2 linked regions of the Macaca mulatta genome follow. The protein of the gene in region 2 interacts with the protein of the main gene of each other region in a pairwise test. Links are inferred from orthologs where the notes say so. Each region holds a gene or a part of one and is shown on either strand. Other genes may lie near its edges. The genes, in order: TFF3 and PCBD1.

Region 1 (4,524 bases), on a different chromosome or scaffold from region 2:
CCCCACCCATGACGTGGGGCAGCTGAGCCTGGTGGAGCCAGGGCGGCAAACCCGTGTGCAGGGCCATCTGTTACCTGTACAGCACACAGGCTCTCCGCCTTTGGGGAGGGAACCCCCAGGGTGGTTGCCCTGCACCTGCCCTCCACCATGGCAGAGAGAGGGAGAGGAGATGGCCCTTGTAGGGGGCAGAGTGGGGGAAGTGGGGTGTGGCACCGAGGCCCAACACCCAGGGCTGGCACTGCCTGCCATCTGTGGAGGGGATGCCACAAATGACAAGACTCTGGTGGGGGACCGGTTTGCAAAAACAGCCTGAAAGTCAGCCTGGCTTTCCACACCTATGTGTTTCCACTTCTCTCAAGAATAGTTATTAAATTAGTTTCCTCTACATAACGCCATCATTTTGAACACCTTTTTGAAATGATTGCTTTTATGTTTTACACAAAGGAGACAAAAGAGGACAGCCCCTGGCCATGGCTGCCCTGGGCTTGAAGCCTCTGCTCTGAGGCCTTGGTGCAGGTGTGTGGCTTCCCGGGGACCTCGTGCCTCCATCTCCAGCCCAGAAAGGACAGGGAGGCCCTGAGACCCCCGGCCTTATGGGGCCAGGCCCAGACCATGATGCTGTCACTCAGGCCTTACCTCCTTGTTCCTGCAGGGGTTTGAAGCACCAAGGCACTCCAACGATGCTGGAGTCAAAGCAGCAGCCCCGGTTGTTGCACTGCTCGGGGGTGACCTGGGGGTAGCCGCAGTCCACCCTGTCCTTGGCCGGCACGGCACACTGGTTTGCAGCTGTCCCAAACAAAGCCCTGTCAGCTGCCAGAGCCCTTACTGGGCTGCGGTGAGTATGTTTGCTTCACTTTGCAAGCTTGCATCCTCCCGCTCCCACCTCGAGTTCAACCACTGCTGAAACCCTCACTCCAATGAAGACGGGCTTTCCCTGTGAATATTTGCATCCTCCTGCTGCCCCCTCCTGAGTTCAACCACTGCTGAAACCCTCACTCCTAGGAGGACGGGCTTTCCTTGTGCAAATTTGCATCCTCCCGCTCCCACCTCCTGAGTTCAACCACAGCTGAAACCCTTGCCTTTAGGAAGATGGGCTTTCCCTGTGAATATTTAAAGAGAAGCAGTCTGTTAAATGCTAAACTTGGGGACTCGGGCCATTTGCCTAAGTGTCTGTCTCCTTGGCACGCTCTTATCACCTTCTCAGGAAGTCACATACGGACCTGGGTCCCTTCCAGCTGGCAGGAACCCCTGGGGAATCCAGGGTCCCCTGAACTCGGAAACAAAGTTCCCCTTCACTGTTTGACCAACAAAACCTTGCCCCTTTGTTTTAAATGAAAAACGCGATGGGAGACACACATGCCATAGAGATCGTTGCAACGCATGCTGCCTGCTTTTCATTTTTTTCTGCATCTCCCTTCCCCGAATTGTTGAGCATGTCCCACCCTCCCTGGACATCCTTCAGTCCCCAATATTTTCATTTTTCAGGCAAGCCTCTATGTCTGTGTGTGCAGCAGAAGTTCACCTCGTTTCATTAATGAACTGGGTATTTCCTTAGGAAAATAGAAATCATGTGGTCTCTTAAATTCCCTTCTATTGCTCCCAGTCTGTAATTGCTTATCCTCACCGCGTCCAAATTTCACTCACACTGGAATCAGTTGCAGAGCTTTAGAAATGACTGACGATGGCTGGGCATGGTGGCTTATGCCTCTAATTCCAGCACTTTGGGAGGTCAAGGCAGGAGGATCACTTGAGGCCAGGAGTTTAAGACCAGCTTGGCCAACATAGCGAAACTCCGTCTCTACTAAAGATACAAAAAATTAGCTGGGCCTGGTGGTGCACGCCTGTAATCCCAGCTGCTTGAAGCCGAGGAATAAGAATTGCTTGAACCTGGGAGGTGGAGGTTGCAGTGAGCCGAGATTGTGCCACTGCACTCCAGCCTGAGTAACAAAGCGAGGCTGTCTCGAAAGAAAACAACTGAGGCCTGGCGCTCACCCGCAGATGCCCTGAGGTAACTGGTGTGCCCCAGGCATTAGGATTTTTAAAGCTCTCCAGGTGATTCTAATGGGCTGTGAGTTCAGGAACCCCTGCCTTTGACCCTGCTCAGAAGACACCCGGATAAAAGCCGTACCCTCATTCCTTCAAACTTGGGTTAATGGAGCAGCCACGCCCCCGCCGCAGGGTTGCTATGCAATGGCTAAATGAACCTTGTGCCGGTAGGTATTGAAAGTATTCTGAAGTCAGGGTTTTTCTCCCGCATCTTTCCTTTTTCTTTGTAAATGTGAAAACAATGCATAAAGACCTATACTGTAATTTAGAAATCTCCGGCAAAGATGGCTACGGGGTCATAGGGGATGGGCTCAGGCTCAAAGCCTGATTTCAACAGACTGGGCAGAGCTGCCTTAGATAAGTTGTTAACTTTCTCTGAGCCTCGGTTTCCTTGTCTGTGAAATGGGGACAATAAACACCCACTTCATAGGATAGCGCAGGAAAAAGTGTATATGTGACAGGTGGCCATTATTACATGAATGCAGAATCCCCCCTTATCCTGGATCCCTCTCCTTCCCGCCCACCCTGCTACCGGGGCAGTCAGAGCGGTACTCACACAGGCCCACGTACTCAGCAGAGCTGGAGGACACCAAGGCCAGGACCAGTCCCAGCACACAGAGAGCTCTGGCCGCCATGACTACCGTGGGCTCCGGGATGCAGCTCAGGACACACTTCATGGTCCAGGAGGCCTCATTTATGCCCCGGTGTTTGCACAGCCGCTCTGGATTGTTTGCTTGGGGAGGGCTCTCCCTCCTGGCTCTGGCTGCTCCCGGACTCTCCCGCATGCCTTTGTCAAGCTCCCAGACAGTTCTTCTCTCTCAAAGGGGAGAGGTCAGTTCAGCCTCCACTGTTTTGGCAGCAAGCGGTGAGGGCGGATTCCAGTTCTGGTTACGGGTCCTCTGCTGGGGAGCAGATGTGTGTTAATCACCCTCCTAGCCTGGCCTGGTGCAGGGTGTGGGAGCCACGTGGGGCTGCAGAACCAGCGCACGGTGTCCATCTCAGCCTCCCAGCCAGGAGCCCTCAGAACACCCCTGGTCCCACGACAAGAGAGCCCCAGCCTGCTCCATCCCAGATCAGCCTTGGAGACGGCACTCTGAGTGAGTCAGGACCCTACAGCTCTCTCACAACTCCTGAAACACAGAGATTTCTCGTCTTTCTTTTTTGCTTTCTCCCCTAAAAATTATTAACTACATTTTAATAAGTGGATGAAATGAATTGATTGAAAATATGTTAATAAAAACATGGCACACGTAATTGATTTTTAAAATCAAATAATACAAAACAGCCTCTCCTATTCAGAGGCATCTATTGTGAACTTTCTTAGGTATCCTTCCAGAGATTTTCTCTCTGGATCTAAGCACTTTTTTTGAGGGGGGTGCGGGGGGAGACAGGGTCTTGCTCTGTTACCCAGGCTGGAGTGCAGTGGTGCAATCTCAACTCACTGAGACCCCCGCCCCCGCGGGGCTCAAGTGATCCTCCCACCTCAGCCTCCTAAGTAGCTGGGCCACAGGCATGTGTCCAGCTCATTTTTTGTATTTTTTTAGAGACCGGCTGTCGCCACGTTGGCCAGGCTGGTCTCAAACTCCTGGAGTGAAGTGATCTGCCTTCCTTGGCCTCCCAAAGTGTCAGGGTTACAGGCGTGAGCCACTGCACCCGGCCACATTCTTAACACAAACAGGAACTGACTCTCCACCTTTGCCCGGTGTGCTCTTTTAGAAACTAAAGACTACATCTGAAGAATTGTTTTATAACAACATATCAGATGAGACAGCGATGATTATATCCATTTTCCAGAGGAAGAAACTAAGACTCAACATTTCTGGTGCCTGCCGGAGGTTATTCCAGTATCCCTGGTATAGCCAGTATTTAACGCAGGTCCATTTAACCCAGGACCCTAAGCTTCCGCCCTTGGCATCCACAGCACCCCCTAACCCCCTAACCTCCTGCAGTGCACTGGCTGGTTGTGGGCAAGAGACTAATCTCATTCCAGGAAAACGGGTTCCTAGATTTTGTGTTCTCCGTGTTTCTTTTCCAGGGAGGCATTTTGATGACCCCCACTGACCCTTCCAGGAGCCTCTGTCTGAAGGGTGGACTTGGTTTATTACCCCGAGAAATGGGAGCGCCTGGCCGCTCAGATTTAGCCTCCAACTGGGGTCCCTGGTGGTGTGTGCAGGGCGGCTCTGCACTGCCAAGGGTGCGTCCACAAACTACCCTTCCCTGAGTGACCCATGGGAGCCCGAAGGCGCATGTGCTGGGCACCAGGATGTGTCCTGCCGTGTGACTCCCGGGCCCCGCCTTGTGTCCCGCAAGCCCTTTGTGGATGGATTTGAGGGCCCCTCACCTCTTGTGTGCCGCCCCTGCTGAGGCCAGTGAAGGAGGAAGAAGGAAAGAGCATTGTCTGCCTTGTTGTCAGGGCACTCACTTTTTCTGGGAGACAGTGAACCCAGGTTCATCCATGGACAGCAGGATTTTCATGTT
Region 2 (4,519 bases):
TGTGGGGTCTCAGAGTCTTGGCTAACGAGACGTGAAGGGACAGAACATGCTTTGTAAGGTGACCCCATCAGCCTCAGTCTCAGAAAACTCTGTCCCGCCCTGGTGCCATACCCTGTTGAAGTCTTTGAAATGAAACTGCTTGAAGATGGCATCGCGGCCTTCCAGCTCATTCCACCCCACGGCCCTCAGGTTTGGCAGCAGCTGGTCCCTCTCCTCAGCACTCAGCCTGTGTGCTTTGCCAGCCTAGAAGAGGGGAAAAAACGAGGCCCAAGAGCATTTCTTTTTATAGGTCAAAACAGGGGCTCCAGCCTTTAGGGGAACTTAGCCAGCCTCCACTGGCTGCTTTGGACGTGGGTGACCAAGGGCAGCAGGTCTTTGAGCAATAAGCTGGAAGCCCTCAAGGGTGGCACTCTGCCCAGGAGGTGGGGTCCAGGCTTGTCCGCTGATAGGCTCTCAGGTCTTGGGTTTTACACTCCACACAGAGAAAGGAAATCCCAAAAGCAATGCAATTCATATGACGGGGACAGAGACACTCTTCCCCTATCCTGCCCTCAAAGCCTTACAGACCTTCCCCTCCATAAGATCTATTACATCAGTGAGGGCGTAAAAGCAAAATAAATCCCAGATGCAAATATATTACTCCACAACCTCTGAGGAAGAGTACCATGACTGTCCCCCCTTCCTTTTCCTATTATGTACTTTATCATATGCACCCCACGTCCCTACGGTAACTTTCATGTGTATTGAAGAGCAAACAGGCCTAGAGAGGGGAAACGACTTGTCTGCTGTTCTTTCCTGCCCTCCCCTAGCCAGGGATGGCGCAGTGTTGTCTGTGTGTCAGCATCCCTGGGGCTGGACAAAGGAGCTGCATTTAAAATAAGTGTCCAGCCCATTCTTAGCCACACTGTAGCTGACCGTGTTGGCACTACCTCTAGTAGGTCCTCAGTCATGCTCCCAGGCAGCCTCTGGTCCTGAGCCGCCAGGGCTAGGTTCTCCGGTTTTCCATCTGCTTTTCTGGCTGGTTGGGAAGCTCAGGCCACAGAACTCAGTCCCCAAAGTGGAAGGAACTTGGCCAAAGGCAGCTGGCAAACCTAGTGCCCTGTCCTATTTACCTAATGTGCAAAGTGCCCTCAACGCAGCCCAAATTGGCACAATTCAGGCCATGAGTGGAACCTCAGAGAATGCAAGGAAGCAAGGGTCAGTTTCATCCTAGGAGGATCCAGGTCTAGGACCTTAACGGATCCCAGAACCTAGGCTTCTAGAGTAGCACCACCCAAGGGCAGAAATAGAGTGCTGAATTGAAAAGAAATACTTAGGGGTGAGGAGGGAATGTGAGGGAGGTTAATTTAGCTTTTATGAGGCAGCCTGCAGACTGAACACCATGTGTTGATTGGCAGGAAGTTTGAGCCCCGCTTTCACCATTTACCAGCCAGGTGGCTGTACCTCTCTTGGCAGAACCTCTACCTCCACAGATCATCAGGAGGTGCCAATGGGACACTTTAGGAAACTCCACTGCTATAAAGCAAATGTCATCTGCATTACAAAAAAATACCTCCTAAGGCAAGTAGGCTTGTGATGGGCCTGGTAGCATTTGTGGTAGCTGAAGCATCGCAGTGCTTTCCTAAGTCCGTCTTTTTTCCCTCCTGTTTCCCTCCTGAAAACGTGAGCTCTCTCCGGACTGAGGGAGCTTGGCCCCTCTCCTCTCCTCGGCTCTAGATGGCTACAGGGATTGAATGGCAGCAGCGATTTGCATCATCTGCCCAGTAGGGAGGTCTCTACTCCAGAGCTGGCCCTCTCCCCGTGGCTGACTGCCTGGTCCGTGTATCCAGACAACCAGAAGTCAGCCAAAGCATCAGAGCCCACTGTTTACTTCCTTGGCTCTTAAAGGGATGGGTGAGTCCAGGTGAGCTCTTAGGAGGCTTCCCTTTCTCGGTAGAGCCTTCTGGAACCCCCCAAGTCGCAGAGCCTGGGGCTGAACTGACAAATCTTCCAGGTGCCGGCTCTGGAGAGGGGGACGGTGCCCTGTTTGCTTAGTAAATCCCCGCCAGGTCTTGCCTCCTCTGGCGAGGTGTGGGGAGTGGTCGCCGATTTCCCAAGCCTGCATCTCTGGGGGCCTCAGCGCCCCTCACAAACAGCCCCACTCATCCTCCCTCCCCCAAGTCCCTCTCCCATCAAAAGGCCCTCCCAGTCTTGCCTGCTCCGAAGGCCTGTGGGCCAGAAACGGTCTGATGAAGCGCCCGAGCTTACAGCAGAGCAAGGGGCCCGCCCCCGCCCCGGGGGTAGGTGGGGGAAGCTAGCCCGGGAGGAGGGCTGCTCCTGCGCCACCAAGCCCCCGCGGCCGGGCACCGGCCTCAAACCGGCGCGGAGGCTGGCTCTGGAGCCCGGGACCGCACATGGGCTCAGAGCGTGAGTCCCAGGCGGACAGACCCTGTATCCAGAGTGCGAGCGGGAAGGGGCGCGGACGGGTACGCACAGGAGCGCGCAAACTCAGCCTGCCTCTCGCTCCCACCCCAGTATAAAGCCGAATCGGGCCACTAAGGGGACGAGATCTGCGAACTCTCCCACCACGGTCCTCCCCGGCCCTGTAAGGTCGTAGGCCCCGCCCCCAGCAGGGTCCGGGAACAAGCACTGGCCTGGGTCAGGGCAGGCCTGGCCTCCCAACTGGCTGGGACCGGGACCCGCCATGCCCCTCTCAGGGCCTCAGCTTCCCCTCCCCGCCGCCGGCGACAGGGACCCGGGCAGAGACCCCACTCTCGGACCCCGGCGGCTCCGCAGGAGGCTCGAAAAGACCCTCCCCCGCCCCGTCCCGCTCCCACCTCGCCCGCTGCTGCCCCGGCCCCGCTGCCCCGATCGCGGCGGCGCACCCCTGGACTCACCATGGCGCGGGCGGCAGCAGGTGGCCGGCGGAGAGGGCAGGCGGCGGCCGGGCGCGCAGGCGGCCGTCCCGGGGCGGGGCCGCGCTCGGACCGCCCTCCGGTAATGATTAACGTCCCCAGCCAGGGACGCGCTCGGCCTGCTTCCTTCCAGCACTTTCCTCGCTGCTCAGAGCCAATCCTCCGAGCTTGTTTCAGGGAGCTAGGGTGAAGCATGAGGGCTCCAAATGCCCACTTCAGGGTTGGAATCCCAGCCCGCCGCTTACAGCTGGGTGGCCCTGGGCGCCAGAATAACTATTTATTTCTTTATAAAAATCTTTTATTTGGATAGAATTGACATGCAATAAGTTGCACATATTCAACGTGTACAATTTGATGAATTTTAATGTTTCCCTCGTGAGACCGACACTGAGATCAAGATTATGAACATATCAAGTTTCCTTGATGACTAATGATATTGAATATCTTTTCATGTACTTATTTGCTAAGGATAAGTCTTTTTTGGTGAATAGCATGTTTGAATTTCCTGCCCATTAAAAAAGAAATTGGGTTGTTTGTTTTCTTACCGAGTTTTGAGGGTGTTTTTTTCTGGATATAAGGACATGATCAGGCAGTGCTTTTCAAATATTTTCTTTGAATTATCTTACGCTGCCTTTCAAAGAGCAAACGTTCTTAATTTTGATGAAATCCAATTTATCAAATGCTTCTTTGATAGATTTCTATTTTGATGTTGTACGCATAGAAATCTTGGCCTAACACGAGATCACAAAAGTTTTCTCCTATGTTTTAGAGCTTTGGGTTTTACATTTAGTCTGTGATCCACATTGAGTAAATATTTTTGTATGCTTCAAGTTATAGATCCAGATTCACTTTTGCACATGGAGATTCAGTTATTCCTTTCTCCACTGAATTGTCTTCGCACCTTTGTAAAACATCAATTGATTATATATGTGTGGGTTTATTTCTGAGCCCTTTCTTCTGTTCCATTGATCTGTTTGTCCATCATGACAGGACGCTACCTTGTCTTGATTATTATAGCTTTATAATAAGTCTTAGAGTCAGGTTAGAAAAGTCCTCTCACATTTTACATTTTTTCTGTTACCTTTTATTCTTGTACTCCATTTTTATTCCCCCCCGCCCGCCGCCACGGCCCATAGCAGCCTCTCTAATGTGTTAATGTGTATTTTTGTTTGCACACGTTCTTGCAAAATGTGTGGTGTTGTTTCGTCTATATGTATTTTTAAATTTATGTAAATGGTATTATGTAAATATATTACATTTCTCAGTCTGTTTCTTACAAAACAGAGTATTTAGTGGAAAATTAAGATCTACCCATGTCGCTATATGTATATTCAATCTGTAGCTTTTAACTGCGGCCTAGTATTTTGTAATGAGAGTCTGCCGTGGTTTCTTGTTCTATCAGTGATGGATACTTAGGTTCCCTCCAACTTTCTGCTGCTACCACCACCTCCCAAATCCGTGAGTATGTGGGCACACACACACATACACACACAGAGTTAAACAACAATGCTGCTGCAGTGAACATCTCTAATAGCTCCCGGGGCTGTGGGCAGTTTCTTAAGTATATTCATACCCTATGAATCCAGCAATTTCCCGCATGGGTGTGTATCTCAAAATAGTTCCAG

What was found.
Region 1: the proteins of PCBD1 (region 2) and TFF3 interact in binary tests that used the Homo sapiens proteins (3 or more experiments, as listed by UniProt). The two-hybrid records come from large-scale screens. The link is inferred for Macaca mulatta from reciprocal best matches to the Homo sapiens genes PCBD1 and TFF3.

What each region holds. Positions count from the first base shown.
Region 1 is NC_133408.1:5,175,149-5,179,672, reverse strand, and holds the start of TFF3 (trefoil factor 3), read right to left. Parts: upstream 2,847-4,524; 5' UTR 2,832-2,846; coding exon 2,603-2,831; intron 787-2,602; coding exon 637-786; intron 1-636. UniProt on the Homo sapiens protein: Involved in the maintenance and repair of the intestinal mucosa. Promotes the mobility of epithelial cells in healing processes (motogen).
Region 2 is NC_133414.1:78,748,418-78,752,936, reverse strand, and holds the start of PCBD1 (pterin-4-alpha-carbinolamine dehydratase), read right to left. Parts: upstream 2,905-4,519; 5' UTR 2,880-2,904; coding exon 2,877-2,879; intron 2,565-2,876; exon of another isoform or gene 2,195-2,564; intron 244-2,194; coding exon 112-243; intron 1-111. UniProt on the Homo sapiens protein: Involved in tetrahydrobiopterin biosynthesis. Seems to both prevent the formation of 7-pterins and accelerate the formation of quinonoid-BH2. Coactivator for HNF1A-dependent transcription.